3 linked regions of the Yarrowia lipolytica genome follow. The protein of the gene in region 3 purifies or fractionates together with the protein of the main gene of each other region. This does not show direct contact. Links are inferred from orthologs where the notes say so. Each region holds a gene or a part of one and is shown on either strand. Other genes may lie near its edges. The genes, in order: YALI1_B16110g, YALI1_D21076g and YALI1_D14125g.

Region 1 (6,564 bases), on a different chromosome or scaffold from region 3:
TCGATGAGGCAACTCAGGCGGAGGCTGTACACACATACGGAGCTTTCGGAGTGACAACCAAGCGAGGACTGCGGGTTATCTCAATGGACTCAAACTTCTGGTACAACGCCAACTATTACAACTACTGGAACACCACCTCTCCCGACACTTCTGGAATGATGAAGTGGATGGTTGACCAGCTGATAGAGGCTGAGAAGAACGCCCAGAAGGTCTGGATCATCGCCCACGTTCCCACCGGGGGAAGTACCACCAACGCCCTCCCTCACGCTACCGAGGTGTTCCGGCAGATCGTTGACCGATTTGCTCCACATACCATTGCCGCTCTATTTTTTGGACACACCCACGAGGACCAGTTCAACGTGTACTACGCTGGAAACGGCACCGATAACTCCATCGATAACGCTCTGACCGTGGGATGGATCTCGCAGTCAGTCACTCCTCTGCACAACTACAACCCCTCGTGGAGATACTACGAGGTTGACAGTGATACATTTGAAATCATGGAGTCCATCAATTATTATGCCCAACTCCACAAGACATTCGAGTTTGATATGGACAAGCCTGAGATTGCGAACAACGGCTCCTTTACTCGAGTCACATACCCTCCCCGAACTCCTGATGAGGAGCTCGAGTGGATCTTTGAGTACTCTGCCCGAGATGTCTATGATCCTGATCAGAAGTGGCCTCGAGAAGCTCCTCTCAACGCCACTTTTTGGCACAACGCTATCCAGTACATTATCAGCAACGATACAGGCAGAGAGGACTACCTCAAGTATGAGTACCGAGAGAGTCCCTTTGTTCCTGATGGAAGCGACCCCGAGTACATCAAGAACATGTACTGCTACTTTTCGTCTGGTACCGTTCCTGCTGTGTTTGAGTGCCAGAAGCGAATGAACATCACCAAGGAGATCTGGATCTAAACGGGGTGTATCTGTTTAGATTCTCGTGGTATCCTATTTTCGTATCTTTTCAAATATTTTGTTGTATCTCGAATGGTATCTGTTTTTGTATTATAGCTTTGTAACTTACAGTAACTGGGATTCGCTCTACTTGTATACCTTGGAAGATGGGAACCTTGGAGGTCAGCACCATGTTACAGTATAAGCACAGCTGTATTATAGATGGTGCTTAAGAAAGGGATAAATTAGAGGACAATATATAAGTCATGATTCCGTGACTCCGCTGTCCCCCCCTTAAACATAGGCGACCTTTCTTGCAGTCATGGTTACCGAACACCTACCAATACGCTCAACTGAACTATCCAAATCAGTCTATCATTATGTTATGTATCTAAAACTCCTCTTCGTCCTCTCCCTCAAGGTCGACTCGTCGCTTACCTTCACCTGCCAGCTTCATGTCAGCAAAAGACCGCTGAGCAGCCTGCTTGGAAACAGTAGCCTGCATTCGCTCAATCTCCTCCTCAGCGTTAGAAGCATCGGCCTGAGCGTACTGAAGAACAAGACGTCGGCCGAGCAGATGGGTGCCCTGCAGAGCAGACATGGCATGCTCAGCCTCCTTGGCAGACACGTACTCGGCAAAGGCGAAACCTCGAGACTCGGAGTTGAACTTCTTGGGCACTCGGACAGTCTTGAGAGAACCAAAAGCACCAAACAGCTTCTGAACATCCTTCTTGGTAGCCTCGAACGGCAAATTCTTGATGAGGATCTTGGAATCGATAGCCTTCTTGGTCTCTGTGGTCTCCTCGTCCTGGCCACGGTTGGAGATCTTGAGCTGCAGCTTATGGCCATCAAGCACATGACCATCCATGGCCTTCTGGGCAATCTCAGCAGCCTCCTTGGAGGAGAACTCGACGAAACCGAAACCCATGGACAGGAACTTTCCCTTGTTCTTAGAGTCAGGCTTCATCTTGACCTGAGCAACCAGGAAACCGTCCAGAGCCTTGAAGGCGTCGGTGAGAACACGGGAGGTGGTCTTGAAGTTCAAGTTCTTGACAAATACAGAAGTAGAAGCAGTAGCAGGTCTTTCATCGTTAGAACCAGTGTCCATAACGTCAGAAGCAGACAGCTTGTCCTCGATAGTAACAATCTTGTCTTGTTTAACATGCTCAACCTCATCACTCTCCATCTTCTCGTTAGGAAGCAGGTTCTTGGGACCCTTCTCCAGGTACAGAATGCTAGTCTTGAACCTTCGGAAAGCCAGCTTGGCAAACGCAGCTCGAGCGTCGGGAATGTGCTTGAAAATGACAATAGCAATAGTTCCAGCTGGAGGCATCATCACCTTATAGAGATCTCCGTATTCAGAAAACATCTCAGCAATCTCAGGCTGGGTGGTTCCAAAGGGGAAGTTCTTGACAAGAATGACTCGATCATCTCTATCCTTGTTGTCAAAGGAAGCCAGATCAACGCCCATCTTCTCAAAGTACGACTTGACATCTCCAATAACAGTGGCCTCAGCCAAAGCCTGCTTGACAGCAGCATCACTGGAGTCTGGGTCGATCAATTCGGACTTCTTGATACCCATACTCTTGGCCACACTCTCCATGACGGCGTCCTGGTTCATGTACAGCGAATTCCAAGAGAACTGCTGTTTGGCAGCCTCGGCCTTTCGCTTCAGCTCCTGCTGCTTCTTGAGAGGCAGGTTTTTGAGATCGTGCTCGTCCAGTCGGTTGTAGTCCTTCTTGGGCTTTCCGGGTAGGATATGCAAAAGTCGGCCCTGGAAAATCTTTCCATCCTGGGCCTCGTACGCTGCGATGGCGTTTTCGGGGTCCTCAAACTGCACGTGTGCGAATCCCTTGCACTGGCCAGTCTTGGTGTTGATGGGTAGATGAACCTCCTCCAACTCTCCGTACTGCGAAAACAGCTGTCGGAAATCCTCCTCTTTGGCTGTATAGAGCAGGTTTCGCAAGAACAGACGTCCAGTTTTTCTAATGCTCACAATGGTAGGGTCCTCAGAGGGCTCCTCATCAACAGGAGTAGCAGCCTTGGGAGCATTGCCTTTTCCTTTCTTGCCCTCGCTCTTGGACTCGGTGTGTCTGTTTTCACGGTCCTCCTCGGGTTCCCCCTCCTTGATTCGTGTTTGTCGTTGTCGCAACCAGTCCATATCTGAAACGCCAGGATCAGCAGCAAGTCCGTCTTCAATAACCGGATCTTCCTCGTCCTCCTCGGCCTCCTCATTGTCGTCATCCTTCTTGTTCTCACTCTCCTCTTCCTCGTCCTCGTCCTCGTCTATCTCGTCGTCACCCTTGCCGGTAAACTCGTCATACTCATCATCAGAAGCAGTAGACTGGATCACCTGAGGCTCGTTGGCAACAGCTCCAGCATCGTTGTTGGCCCAGGTCTTAGCGTTAGATCGAACCTGCATGGCATCCAGATAGTCAGCCAGTCGAGGATCGGAGGCGTTGCCCAAACCATTAATGTCGTCAATGGTCATAGGCTTCTCGAGATACCGGGCCTTCTTGGCCTCCCGGTCGTCCTCAGCGTCCTCTCGAGCTCTCTGAGCAGCCTGCCGCTTTCGCTCTCTTGAAGACAGAGGAACATTGGGGTCTGTGAAAGTCATGGCAACAGCCACGGAGATCTTGGTAGAGTTGATGAAAGATGTGTCAAAATACTTGACGGCAGCCTCGGCAGTCTCGTCGGATCGGAAACCAACGAATCCGAACCGTCTGGTCTTGCCGTCTCGAGCTCTCACCACCTTGACATCAGTGATATCGGAAGGGGCAAAGCCAGCAGACTTGGGATCCTTGACGGTGGAAAAGTGTTTCTTCAGGCCAGCCTCATCGAGGTAAGGCGGCAGGTTTTTCACAATCAGTCGAGACATTCTGTGGTGTGTGGGAAATTTTCCTCACCTGCATCTGCAAGATACTAGAAATTTTAAAGTTAAGGTGTTCGCTGAAAGCTTATTTTGTCTACAATATGGAATTGTGGAGGGAAGTGAATTGTCCAAGTATGTACTGTAGCTACTGTAAGTACTGTAGCTATTACACAAAGGATAAGAAAACAGGTACATAATGGTACCAGTGGTTTGCTGAGGATTAGATATCCTCAGAGGGAAACCCTCAAGATGGCTACTGCTCCAAAGCAATAAGAATACAGATATTCTGATATAAGCTTAGTCAGCTTATCTCGAACTGCAACCTTCCAAGGGTCCGACTCGATATATCGATATAATTGAACAGGAGACGTCAAACATTTCTAGCAAATCCATAGGTTTCATTTAACTACGTCTATTTTCATTTCTGTCTCTACATTCTGTCACTAATTTATCCCCGTGTCAACCTCAAACGAGTCTACAACTTTCTTGGTTGGCACAAGTTGACTCTTTCAGACCCCTAAAAAGTGAAGATAACCATCGTAATCTAGAATTGCAGATATGGTATATACAGTACTTTAATACCAATTCTTTTCCTTAACTATTTCATTTGTTGGCTCTGAAAATCTCACGACATTCTCAGCCGAAGAGATGTCTAAACAGCTCTGTAGGCAGTAGTATTTATCATCATGGAAAAGACCGTGGTACAATGAGACAACAGCCTTATATCTTTAAAACCATTTTTTTTTTAATTCCATCTTTGCTATTGTATCGAGACATGGCTCTCTTACGGTCTTACAGTAACTTAGGGCCAGTTTGTTCACATCCACCATCGACAATAAACATTACAGTGTACTCACATATCTATCAACAACCATAATACATCCGCGGCTTATGGAAACCTCAGATACTATCTCTAGTAAAATCAGACGAGTGCTTGAACGTGACCGATCGTCACTCGTTCACGTGTCAGCAACTATGGAATCTACAAGTACAAAGGACCATCATCTGAGTATGGAGTAAGGAAACCATCTGAGTATAGAGTCTATGATTAGGGTCTTGCCTTTAGAAGTTCCCTTTTTCCGCCATCACCCGTGGGTCTCTGTTGAATATCAATATTCGTCAGCACCATCCGTTGGGTCTCTTCCAGTACCTTCAGAACTCGGTCGCGTCCGCGTCTTGAAATCTGGAAATGAATCCGACTCCTGGGATTAGACATCGTATGTATTCAAATGCCTGTTCTGTAAATGGGTTCTACAAATATGTTTCTAGCTCAAACTTGTAGCACCTGGGCTCCGGTCACAGTTCCGGAGATGTCCAGACCTGCTCGCGCTGACAAAGCATCGCAGGATGTTGATCGATATAATCTACAACGATATTGACAAGTTCGGGAGATAGATGAGTATCGAGCTAGTTCAAAATCGATGTTCGTCTCTTCATAAGGAAGACAGAGGCCAGTAATGCGTAACACTCGGACCGATCTTGGCCATCCAGGAGGATCTCCGATGAGACAATGAGTGTCACTGCAGTAGTGCGAATAAACGTGAACGAGTGGGTGTCGTGAGGGTGACAAGAAAAGAAGCAGAGTCAAATCATTCCATTTCAACCATTTACAGTATACTGCTAGATATGTTTCCCTAATGGTTAGCCCATTTGTCTAGAGTACTCATAGCTACTGTATTCCATAATCAAGGTTCACTGTGCTTCGATACTGCCTGGAGATAAGACAGATGCGATAATACACGACATGTTGGATGTAAGGGCATGTAATACGTGTTGATATTAATTGATCTGACGTATTATATAAACGATGTATATCCAGGACTCATTCAACACTAGACGCAACCCGATGCTCTCGTCACAATGATTGGATTCTTGGTCTCGGTCTCAGGTTGCGTCTTCTTTCGGCTCCTCTCACCACACTTCTTTAACACCCCTCAACCCACCACCATTCTATTCCACATCACCTCACACCACTTCAAGAGAGATACCGACACAATATAATTTCATCGATGAAACTGGAAACCAGAAAATACCTGCTGGTGACCATCCTGGTGGTCATGTTCACTATCGGCTCGGTCATGGACCTATGGCTCTACCTCCTGTGTCTTAGCCGATCACCCAACCTCAAGCACTACAGAGCTATGTTGGCTCGAAGATGGTGGTCGTGGACGATGTTCTCGGTGGGTCAGGTGGTCAACTTCAAGATCAAGATGCACGGCGACAAAATGATACCCGAGGGAAACATGCTGATAATCAGTGAGATACCTATGATGTGGTCGACGAGACACGAAATACTAACACAGGTAATCATCTATCAAGATACGACTATATGATCTACGCACTAATCAACAACCAGCATTGCGCCAAGTCGCACCTTGCATTCCTGTCCTGGAAACACATCTTTTCTCTCTTTAGCCTCAGCAAGATTCTGCCCTTCTACCGACTTGACGAAAACTGGATGTTCGAATCAGCAGCCGACCTTGAGAAAGAACTAGCCAAGCTAATCAACCCTTACTGTCTGGTGCTGTTCCCAGAAGTCTCGGTGGCAACCCCACAACTTATCAGACGACATAGAGAGCTCTGCAGAGCGTGTTTTGCACCTGAACTCACTCATGTACTCTACCCTCGCCACAGCAGCTTTGCAGACTTCATATTGGGACTGAATAAGGGCCAGGCTCTTAGTTACATCTACGACGCCACCATCTCGTATACTGACAAGAAAGATAAGATTCTATGTAATCCTGGAAACATAGATACTCTGTTGACTCAAGTGGAAACGGTTCATGTTCACAT
Region 2 (5,270 bases), about 690 kb from region 3:
TTGACCTCTCGACGAGGATGCAGGGGGTACACGGCTCGCAGGTCGCCGGAGTAGCTGTAGTTGGGGAAGGGATCAGTGGTTTCTTGGCCAGCGGGACTATGGACCGACTTATGCAGGGCCCAGTTTCGCTTGAAACAGGTCTGGTCGCAGAAAAAGGCGTTGACGCCGGTCTTGAGACAGACGGGGCACTTGAGGCTGCCGTCGACAATCTTTCCGCAATCGGGGCCGCTGCAGGTGTTCTCCACAGAGGTCATTTTTGAGATGTCAGAGTGGTGTGGAAGTGGGTGTGCTTCTGTATGTACAGCTCTAATCTTTTCACCTATCCAGAAGCTTATTTGAGATCAAGTAGTAAGCAACTAAATATTAGAGTTAGTGGAAAGGCTAAGTAAATGACGGTCTTGCGGGAGAGCTCATGAGTGAGGTTTTGGAGGTATATTACACGCGTTTGTGGAGAAGGCGTGGAGAAGGGGTGTCCTTGGAACTGATTACTAAGCCTTTTCGCAACAGTCGGTCTCACTTTCTCAGCTTCAACAGAACCCATGGATATAAGTCCGGTATTATCATATTCCGCACCATCCGCATCATCCAATATGCAGGAATGACATATGAGCGCATTAGCAGATACCGGCACTCAGATGTAGGGATATTGATTCTAGGGTGGGTGAAGTTGCTACAAGTAGCTCTTTCTGTGGTGGACCCCGGAGATACTAGTTATGAAGAGTGGTCATGAAGAGTGGTTATGAAAAGTGGTTACGATGCTTGTTTCTCATACACTAGCTAGTCAAGTATTGATCATGATGGGTATGATGTGAGGGTGAATGGTGAGAATACACTACAGTAGATGATAAGAATGTGTTTCTGTAGCTATTCGCGATCTTCGAATATCACGCTCTTTTCTTCGATTTAATCTTCATTTTCGCTAGTTATTGTGATAATTCGAAGTAGTCGTAGTAAATCAAGTGGCACTGTACCTACCATGGCTTGTACAGGTACTTGTTATGGAATGATCTGAGTGAATCTCAACGGCAAGAGATAACGGATTCTGATTTGCGGGTCACAGAAGGAGATTCTCAACTCTCAATGGGATAGTTCCATAAGAACTTGTACTGTAGCCCATGGGTGTCCAGTTTAGATGCTGTAAGCAGAACACGACGCTCAGTTTCTGCCAGAAACTTGGACGCTAGTTGCCAAAAACTTTTAGCGATGGAAACCCTTTAAAAACTTCTCCAGAACTCTCCAGAACTCTCCAGAACTCTCCAGAACTCTCGTGGTCCTATATGTGCGAATGAACGACCTCCACTCACCGCCATTGGACAGACACAGAGAAGTATGGGGATGGTGAATGTGAACAGGAGACAGTGTAGCGATGAATACGAGATTGGTACCATCTCCAAGATCAGCCGAAAACGTTTCTGTATATCAGCTCCTTTGTTGGATTCCATGCCGACAGTCCACCACAGAAGTTGAACATTCGCTGATGCTACACCTGAATTACCTGTCCCAAAATGGCCAAAAAAAAAAAAAAAAAAAAAAAAAAAAAAAGGACTCTCTTGGGTAATGTGACCAAAATCTGCTATTATTTGCGGAATTTATTAATATTCGGATGTAAAACTGATGCAACAAGTACCCTTCGCCCAAACTGTCCTACAACGAGTGCAAAACTCCTCTATCACAACTACTAACATCGACATGCTACAACACCTCCAAACCTAATCGTATTTTTTTTAGACACCAGGAAGCCTTCGTCAACAGACCCCTGTTTCCCCGAATCTGAGTAGAAAAGACGTAAACCAGGTATTCCAAACTCCAAGATCCCCCAGTAAAAAATTCGCTTCTCGAAGACTGCTCTAAAGGCACATTCACCGTTGCTTGTTGCTGTACCCAGATTGTCAACAGTAACTTTGATCCGAGGTACGTTGTGTGCGATATTGGACGAGCTATAGTCATTATCTCTGAGATCAGAAAGGCTAGAAATAGCTTCTCGAACTTTCAGTATGCCCAAAGATATACCAAAAGCTTTCTATATGTCAATATCTGCTTTTGTCACGCCCAGTCGAAGACGTTATATGCTGGACTCTATCAGATAATGTTTGGGTTGCATCGATCTCTGGTTACTGCTCAGCACGGCCAGATAATGTCGCCATATAGACATAAAACTGATACGGTAAAGATGCCAACCGGCCATTATACATCTGGATCAACCATTTTTCTCATAATATCCATCCATTGCAGTGTAAAAATGGCGACTTTTCAGCCCCTTTTTGGAACAAGTTGCTCGTAGGTCTACTCCGAAGTCGGTCAAACTACATGCCAAACCAATCCGAACTAAACAACACACGCAGCTGAGACCTGTGGCCCAAAATTCAGTGGCACACTCATTAACCCTCTAAACAATAAACATATCACGGCGCCTACTCATAAACGAACCACCACGGCCATTTGCGAACGACCCACTATTGTCCCCCGTCTAGTCTCCACGGCCGGGTAAAAAGGCTATTTTTTTCTGCACAATTTTTTCTGACGCTGCAGGACGTTTAAAAATATTCCTGTCCACTTTTCTCCCAACCACACACTTGTCCAACACCACTACACACACCATGTCGGACCAAATCGACTACGTACTTTTCGAGGAGGCCTCTGGCTACGCTCTGTTCAAGGTGCTGCTGCAGCCCGAGAACATTGGCGCCCGAGTCAAGGAGGTCCAGGAGTCTTGTACCGACTTCAACAAGTTTTCCAAGCTTGTCAAGCTGGTGTCTTTTGCCCCCTTCAAGGGTGCTGCCCATGCTCTGGAGAACGCCAACGATATTTCCGAGGGTATCTGCAACGACCACCTCAAGTCCCTGCTCGAGCTCAACTTGCCTGAGGGATCCAAGAAGAAGAAGATTGTGCTTGGTATCAGTGACAAGAACCTGGGCCAGAGCATAAAGGAGGCTCTCCCCAACGTCGAGTGTGTCTCCAACGAGGCCGTCCACGATCTCCAGCGAGGAATCCGTTTGTTTGGCGACCGGTTCCTGGAGCAGCTTGACTCTGGCGATCTTGAGCGAGCTCAGCTTGGTCTGGGCCACGCCTACTCCCGAGCCAAGGTCAAGTTCTCCGTCAACAAGAACGACAACCACATCATCCAGGCCATTGCGCTGCTGGACCAGCTGGACAAGGATATCAACACCTTCTCCATGCGAGTCAAGGAGTGGTATGGCTGGCACTTCCCCGAGCTCGCCAAGCTCGTCAACGACAACTACAACTTTGCCAAGCTCGCTCTCTACATCAAGGACAAGTCCGAGCTGTCCGAGGACTCCCTGCACGACATTGCTGCCATCGTGAACGACGATGCTGGTCTTGCCCAGCAGATTATCGACGCTTCCAAGATCTCCATGGGCCAGGACATCTCCGAGGCTGACATGGACAACGTTACCACCTTCGCCGAGCGAGTTGTCAACATCACCGACTACCGACGAAAGCTCTACGGCTACCTGTCCGAGAAGATGAACACCATTGCTCCCAACCTGTCCGAGCTTATTGGTGAGGTTGTTGGTGCCCGACTCATCTCTCACGCCGGTTCTCTTACCAACCTGTCCAAGTACCCTGCCTCTACTGTCCAGATTCTCGGTGCCGAGAAGGCTCTGTTCCGAGCTCTTAAGACCAAGGGAAACACCCCTAAATACGGTCTGATCTACCACTCTTCTTTCATCGGCAAGGCCGGTCTCAAGAACAAGGGCCGAATCTCCCGATTCCTCGCCAACAAGTGTTCCATTGCATCTCGAATCGACAACTACTCCGATGTGCCCACTTCCATCTTCGGAAAGGCCCTCAAGCAGCAGGTCGAGGAGCGACTCACCTTCTACGATACCGGAGTTGCCCCCACCAAGAACGTCGATGCCATGAAGAACGCCATGGACGAGGTTCTGGCCAACATGGGCGACGTTGAGGTCGATGAGGACTCTGACGTTGAGATGGATGACGATTCCGACAAGAAGGAGAAGAAGGAAAAGAAGGACAAGAAGGAAAAGAAGGAAAAGAAGGACAAGTCTGAGAAGAAGGACAAGAAGGACAAGAAGGAAAAGAAGGACAAGAAGCGAAAGAGCTTGGGCGGTGATGAGACTCCTAAGAAGAAGAAGTCAAAGAAGGATTAATGTAGTATATATTTAACGGATAATACAAGTGAAGATGCAAAGTTGCATACATCTGGCATGCAGTGAGGGTTGCCAGATGATGTGATTTTGCGACCGTAGAATGAGGGAAGACTGCCACAAGACTGGAATCTGAGAAATGTGATAACACCTACAAGTATCTGACATGTCTCAGGCACTACAGCTGTGCCTGTTTTCATAGGCGGTATTCTCATACAAGTTCACTGAGCCCTTATCAGGTACAATACTAAGACAAATATACTAATTGTGTTGTGGACGCATCGAAACCGCCTCTGCAACGCAGTCATGACCTCCTACAGGTACAGTCCAGCAACGCCATCATCTGCTCTCAACTCCTTCAACGCCTTTGCTGCGTCGAGCCCGAAAACTCCGGCGAGAATTCCAGTCAGGTCCTCGAACGTGTCACTCTGGTATCGCTCGAACGACTGAGTGCCCACATTCTGGACCACTAGTGCTGTGGCAGGCACCTGTGACTGCTGACATCGGGTGAGAACGGCGGCTCCTAGTCCAGATATGAAGTTTGGAGACTGCAGCAGAGGTGTGGAAGCCAGGGGGACGAGATTCGACTTACCCACATCCAGCTGGTGCACATGAACGTCAGCAATGGTGTTACCAGGTGCAAGAATGAGCGCTTGGCAGGGTTTGATTAGATCAACCAACTGTTGAGCAAACCCATGTGCCAGAAGAAGCTCATCCTGCTTGATTTCCACTAGAACCACATCTCCATACTGAACTGGCGATAGGATTACCTTGTGGGAGGTGATCAGCTCTTTAGTGACATCCTCCAGCTCGTCCTCCTCGTCTTCCTCCTCCAAAAAGTCGGTGGTAAACTTGCGTCTGTTTTCTGCGCTCTGGGCATTCTTTTTGAGCTGAATCTCGCCGACAATCTCGCCGAGATTGATGGGTTTCGATTTCTGAGTGAAAAGAGCTTCCACTACAGGAAAGAGTTTTGCTGTGGACACGAGAAGAGTCTGTGGCGAGGTTGGATGAGTGAGAGAGTTGGCGAAGAGCACGGATTTCGTGTAGGGCGACGCTTCCTGGCCGTCTTCAAATCCTTCTTCATGTCCCTCCTCGATAATGTGTCGGGGAGAGTTGACTTGGAGCCATGGTTTGAGCTGGGTT
Region 3 (5,912 bases):
CCGATCGGAAACACTCAGGTTTAAGATCGCGCCATCGTATTTTCTTTGTTCATTCTAACCAAACCTTGCGGACTCATCGTATACAAGCACGTACGTACTCGTACTACCACAACGACTTGTCCTGCTCGGTGAAACAAACGACATCCCCGGAAACCTTGGCGCAGTGCTCATTTAGAATTAGTTGACGCATCTCAACTAGCTACTGCACGATACCGTAACCGCCCAGACACTGCGTTTCGACATCTCCACAACTCTCCCTTACACAAACAACACCCCCAAAACATCCTTTTTGCACCACCTCCGCCATGCCCGAGCCCACAATCGAAAGCCTGAAGAAGGAGGTCGACTTTCTCTCTGCCCAGCTCCGAAAAGTCACCGGGCTGGTCGCTGAGACCGGCAAACAGGTGCTCTCCATCCAGGTGAACCAGGAGAAGGGCGCCCTCAACAACCTCACAATCACCGACGTGGAAGGCAAGCCAGTCCAGTCGCAAAAGGACAAGGCTTCATCGTCCGAAGACAGCCAGGCCGTCACCTCTGAGGATCTCGTGGTGCTTGTGACCGAACTCCAGGACCAGCTCGACAACCTCGAGACTAAGTCGATCCGACGAACCGCAAACTCCTTTGCCCAGAAAGACGCCGACCTCATTGCCTCGCTGCCCCGAATTGATGGCATGTGCCCCGCCCAGGAGCTCGACGACGAAACCCACCCCGACTGGGTATTCCCCAAGACCCTGGGAGAGTTCAAGAAGCTCGATAATGCCAAGGTGGAACAGTGGATGCGGTTCTACGAGCTGCTGCCTCCGGACGAAGCCGAACTTGCCAAGCTCCAAGAGGTGCTGGGCAAGGAGGAGCTTGAGGAGGCCATGGAGAACGCCCGAAAGTCTGCTGAACTGTCGGAGGCGGAGGCCATTGAGCGATTTGATACTCTCGCCCGGTTCTTTGGTCTGCGGGAGCGACGAGGCACCAACGCCTGGTAGATGTGCCCGCTATGACTATTGATACAAAATCCATTACGACTTCCGGTATTCTTCTTTTTCGAGGCCGAATTAATAATGAGCGAAAAAATGACAACCATGAGACCACCAATCGAGAGAGAAACAGTACACAGTATATTATTTTAGTTTTTTGTTTCCTCATTTGAGGACAATGTGAAAAAAAAAAAAGCAGATGATAGATGATGATGTTTAAATACTGTATTACATGTCGGCCTATAGAGGACTACTTATAGGTACGCCACTCAAGCGTCTCCGTATCTGATCAGATATCTGTGCCATATCCCGTTAACTATATAATGCTTTTCTAAATCACTCGTTTCGGACCTTCTTTCGAGATCGGTCTCCAGAGGCGTCTTCTCCATCTCCTCCGTTGGCTCGCTTGAATCCTCCTCGATCAGAGCCTCCAAATCCTCCTCGGGGAGCCCCGCCTCGACCTCCTCGGAAACCTCCTCGGCCCCGACCTCCTCCTCGAGGGAAAGTTCCTCCTCCTCGAGTGATGATTCGGGCTCCACCTCGGCCAAATCGCTTCTGTCCAGGATTGGCCAGAGACTTGGCGTCCAGAGGGATTCCGAGCTCCTCGTACTCCTTGGCTAAAGCGTCATCAGTGGCATGGAGAGTCACCCACCAGTCACTCTTTCGTCGCAGAAACTTGTCCAGCGACCAATTTCTCCAGACCGCCTTTCCATATGTGTTTTCCTTGAGATCTTCGTCGGCCACCAGCTCGTTAGCAATCTTCTCTCTAAAGTTGTTCATCTTGTAGGTGAAGTTCCAAAGCCGGTCCATAACGTGTGATGCAAACGGGTCTCGGGCAAGATCGACGCACTGGCCGTTGATCTTGTTGAGGAACTTTCGTCGCTCGATCGTGTTGATGGACGGCCGCAGACACTTTTCCAGCAGACGCGAGTACGACTGGTGCTTGGCCATCTTGATGACATCGACATCGCCAGAGTTGAGTCCCACGAAAGCGGTAGCAAGCACCTCGGGAGAAGCTTCCACCAGTTGTTGCAGCACCAGACATCTATGCAGACCGGGAGAAGAAGCCTCATGGGGTTTGTAGGGGTTCTTCTCGTCCAGCTGAAGCACCTTCTGTAGGAGCTTGGGGTCGGTGGAGTCTGTATCAAATGTCTTGAGCACCGCATTGGCAACGTCGGTTGCCTTGTAGTTGGCAGCAGCAGCTCGGGTAAGCAGAATTCGAACCATGGTCAGGTTGTTGTTCTCCACCAGATAGGGAATTTCTCCCATGGCAGTATCAATAATGTGGTGGACGTCGGCCTCGGGAAGACGCTGCATGCAGGTCTCAATGACAAATCCGGCGTAGTCTCGTCGCACCAACTTCTGCACTCGCTGAGACATGTACAGTCTGTAGAGTCGCTCGACAAAGGCCTCAGGGGCCTTCTGAAGCACGTTCTGGAGAAAGTGCGAACCCACAGCATCGGACAGAAGGTGCTCAACAAACGCCTCCTCAGAGGAGTCTCGATCTTCGGTGTCGGCAAAGATGGTGTTCAACAGAGGTCGCTGCTCAGAAGTGGTAGCCTCAGAGTCAATCAGCAGTTGGACCACGGGCGAAGAAACCTGTCCAATAGCTAGCTCTCGAGCAGCAGTGGGCTTGAGTCGTTTGCTGAAGCCGCTGACAATGGCCTCCAGAGCATCGTGGAAGGCTCCGGGAATCTGGTATGCTCGGTCATTCTCCTCCGAGTCCTTAATGTCAATATTTCGTCGGGCGGTTCGCGACTTTTTCGATCGCAGCACCGACGAGTTGCCCTCGGAACTTGTGGGAGAGGGCAGAGTCTGGCCTCCGAGAATGAGCAACAGCACTCGAATCACGTGCGAAGCGTAAGGGTTGGAAATGAGGTCCTGGATGTAGTCCTTCATGTCGTTTGCAAGGGTCAAGAACCGCTTCTCCATAGAATCCTCGCTGTCGCCATCAAAGTTGGGGTCTAGCACCTCCTTCTCCACAATGGCGGCTCCTCGCACCAGCAGAGTCTCCACGCAATGGGAAGAGTACTTGTGTCTGCTGAGGTCCACAAAGTAGCCGGAGAACACCTCAAACAACGCCCGGATCTGCTCGTCGTTGGCCAGCAAGATCAGTCGCTCCATGAGCTTGGAGCAAATCTGGTTCGTCACCAGCTTAAGCTCTTTTCCTCGAGCCTCGTCCAGCAAACCAGAGATGAATCCCAGCTTCTCTTCGGGTGACCCAAAAGCATCGACGGCCAAAGTGGACTCGGCGGTTTTAAAGTACTCTGACTCCTGGTCATCGAGGAATCCAAAAAATGGCATCTGCTTGAGATCCAGAGGGTTGTAGGGGGTCTCATTGTCGTAGCCATCGTTCTCTTCATCATCATGACCTCCAGCCACTCCTCCGTCAGCATCAAAAGTGACGTAGTCTTCGTCGTTCTCATAGACCTTAAGGTCAACGTCTTCCTTTTCCTCCTCGGCTCGCTTGGCGGCGGCTCGTCTTCCTCTCTTCTTGACTTCTCGAGGCATTCTTTCTCAAAGATGTAGATACTGTGAAATAATTTAGCTCACCGAAAATATATTTTTCTGCAATGCACACTGAAGAGGTTTATTTAGGTTTGGGTTTTTTCACACATTAAACAAAATTACTTATCATTTACTCGAGGCAACTACCCTCGTTGGATCAATCCTGACGTCGCGCTCTCTCAATCACAAACATGCATCTATAACTCATTTTATATACCAATCCGCTACTCCGTTTAATCATCCTGATCCCAGTTACCAATAGACTGCTGCTTGGGCATGGTGGGGCCGCCAGCTCGCTTGGCCATGATAATCTGGTCGACTGTGAGAATGGTGTTGGCCACGTCAGTCGCAAGCTCGATGGCAGACATCTTGGCGGAGTAAGAGTCAAAGATATCGGCAGCAGAGGCGTCGCAGGTGCCGGTGCTGTCGTTGTCGTCGACATCGACACCAGTGGTGTTTCGGCCCTCGGAGTGAGCAGCGTAGAGTCGGGCAAGCACCTCGATGGCGTCCAGACCAGCGTTCTCGGCCAGAGTTTCGGGCAGGACTTCAAATGCCTGTCCGTAGGCCTTGATGGCATGCTGCATGAGACCCTGGGTTCGCTCGCCCTGCTGCACAATGGTAGAAACCAGCCGGATTTCGGTGGCTCCAGCTCCAGGAACCAGACGGGGATCCTTAGAGATGGACTTGACAACAGACACACCGTCATCAATGGCTCGCTCCACGTCGTCGAGAGCGTTCTGGGTAGCACCTCGAACCACAACGGTCGCGGTTCGGGTCGCCTCGTCCTCCTGTCGGAGCACGGTGACTCGGTCGCCTCCAATCTCAATGGTCTCAACCACATCGACAGTGCCCATCTCCTCGGGAAGGGGAGCTCCGACTCGAGCGAGAGGAGTGGCGCCAACCACTCGGCACAGTCGTCGCAGATCAAACTTGGAGGGAACCTTAAGGGCAATCAGACCCATTCTGTTCATGTAGTGCAGAGGCAAGTCTCCGAGACCAGCGCCGCAGACGACCACCTTGACGCCGGAGTCGGCAATGTTCTTAACCATGGTCTCGACCTGGGCCTCCTCACCCTTGGAGAAGTTGAGCATCTCCTGGGCAGACTTGAGCAGCACAGTACCCTTTGTTTCGGTAGAGGAGATGTCGACAGGGGTAGAGAAAACAACAACCTTGGCCTTGCCACAATTCTTCACAGTGGACTCGGGCTCCCGGTTGAAAACCATACCCTTGATGACCTGGGATGCGCCCAGAGAGGCGCCCATGATCTTGACGACTCGGATGGCGTCCACGTTGAAAGCCTTGATGTTCTTGGGCATGACATGCTGGACAGCCTCGGTGACCAATCGCGAGATGATTGCCTCGTGGCCGTACTGCTTGGATGCCACGGCGGTCTTGACGGCTCGAGCCAGCAGCTGCGAGGTGACCAGAGCCTGGGCGGTGTCTCCGTTGGCCAGCTCAGCGTTGGCAGTGGTCTCGGCAGCAATGGTCTCCAGCTCCATCAGCGCCAGACCCTTGGCTCGCTCGTAGCCCTGGACCACTTCGGAGGGATGCAGTCCGATTCGAATGAGCTCGTCGGCCTTGTTGAGAAGCGAGCCGGCCAGAGTCAGAACCAAGTTGGTGGCATCTCCACACTCGAGCTCCTGCTGCTGGGAGGCCTGGACCAGGAGTTTGGCGGCAGGGTGAATCACCTCGAGCTCCCGCAGAATGGTGGCGGCATCAGATGTCAGAAAGATTCGGCCAAGATGGTTGACCACAATCTTGTTTCGACCACAGGGTCCAATAGAGGTTCGAACCATGCCGGTGATTTCTCGACAGGCCTGGATGTTTCGCTGGACGGCGCCGTCCTCGGCATTGGATGTCTGGTATCCCTGCTTGAACAGGCCCGCATTGGGGGCGGTAGGTAGCTTGAGATTCGACATTATGGTGTAGTTGTAGTTAAGACAGGTACCGTGTGCATTCGATAGTCTTCGATTTTTTTTGAGGGTTAGGGCGGCAGAGATGGTGCGAAATGGGTGTCTAAACGGGTGATAGAGATGGGTTGGGGGTGATGTGTGTGTTGATCTGGGTAATTGTCCTCTCAAATAATACCCTCGAACCATTTATTCGCCTACTTGTACTACAATCTACGTCATTTATCAGGGGTTGGGGTGTATCTGATCTCGTCAAACTGTACGTGTGCAAGTCCCAAACGTTCTAGATAACTCCTTTGACGACGCCACTGTCTCTTTTATTAAGGCGTCGCAACAGAGTTTCTAGGCGTGTGGGATCTGAGCCGTGAGGAAGGCAACATTAGAGGTCAACCGAAGTCACAATTGCTTCGAGAGGGATGATTTTGGGTCGTTGATTGGTTCGTTCCGCTCAAACCGCTGATTCCGCTCCAGACTTGGCCACCTTCATGTTTATCGGCTTAGTCAGTACACCCTTGGTCCATTTCCG

The links.
Region 1: the proteins of YALI1_D14125g (region 3) and YALI1_B16110g purify together in Saccharomyces cerevisiae (affinity purification with mass spectrometry; 3 studies listed by BioGRID). This does not show direct contact. The link is inferred for Yarrowia lipolytica from reciprocal best matches to the Saccharomyces cerevisiae genes NOP9 and MRD1.
Region 2: the proteins of YALI1_D14125g (region 3) and YALI1_D21076g purify together in Saccharomyces cerevisiae (affinity purification with mass spectrometry; 3 studies listed by BioGRID). This does not show direct contact. The link is inferred for Yarrowia lipolytica from reciprocal best matches to the Saccharomyces cerevisiae genes NOP9 and NOP56.

The regions. Positions count from the first base shown.
Region 1 is NC_090771.1:1,608,301-1,614,864, reverse strand, and holds YALI1_B16110g (uncharacterized protein), read right to left. Parts: upstream 3,778-6,564; coding exon 1,291-3,777; downstream 1-1,290. Other genes in the region: YALI1_B16158g (uncharacterized protein), read left to right, coding at 1-920; YALI1_B16087g (uncharacterized protein), read left to right, coding at 5,927-5,951, 6,075-6,564. UniProt on the Saccharomyces cerevisiae protein: Involved in pre-rRNA processing. Required for maintaining steady-state levels of 40S ribosomal subunit. Required for the initial processing of pre-rRNA at the A0 to A2 sites, leading to the processing of the 23S pre-rRNA intermediate to the 18S rRNA.
Region 2 is NC_090773.1:2,104,961-2,110,230, reverse strand, and holds YALI1_D21076g (uncharacterized protein), read left to right. Parts: upstream 1-2,597; coding exon 2,598-4,130; downstream 4,131-5,270. Other genes in the region: YALI1_D21100g (uncharacterized protein), read right to left, coding at 1-254; YALI1_D21044g (uncharacterized protein), read right to left, coding at 4,442-5,263. UniProt on the Saccharomyces cerevisiae protein: Required for 60S ribosomal subunit synthesis.
Region 3 is NC_090773.1:1,410,074-1,415,985, reverse strand, and holds YALI1_D14125g (uncharacterized protein), read right to left. Parts: upstream 3,480-5,912; coding exon 1,305-3,479; downstream 1-1,304. Other genes in the region: YALI1_D14156g (uncharacterized protein), read left to right, coding at 306-977; YALI1_D14104g (uncharacterized protein), read right to left, coding at 3,710-5,575. UniProt on the Saccharomyces cerevisiae protein: RNA-binding nucleolar protein required for pre-rRNA processing. Component of the 90S pre-ribosome involved in production of 18S rRNA and assembly of small ribosomal subunit. Component of the pre-40S ribosome required for release from the nucleolus.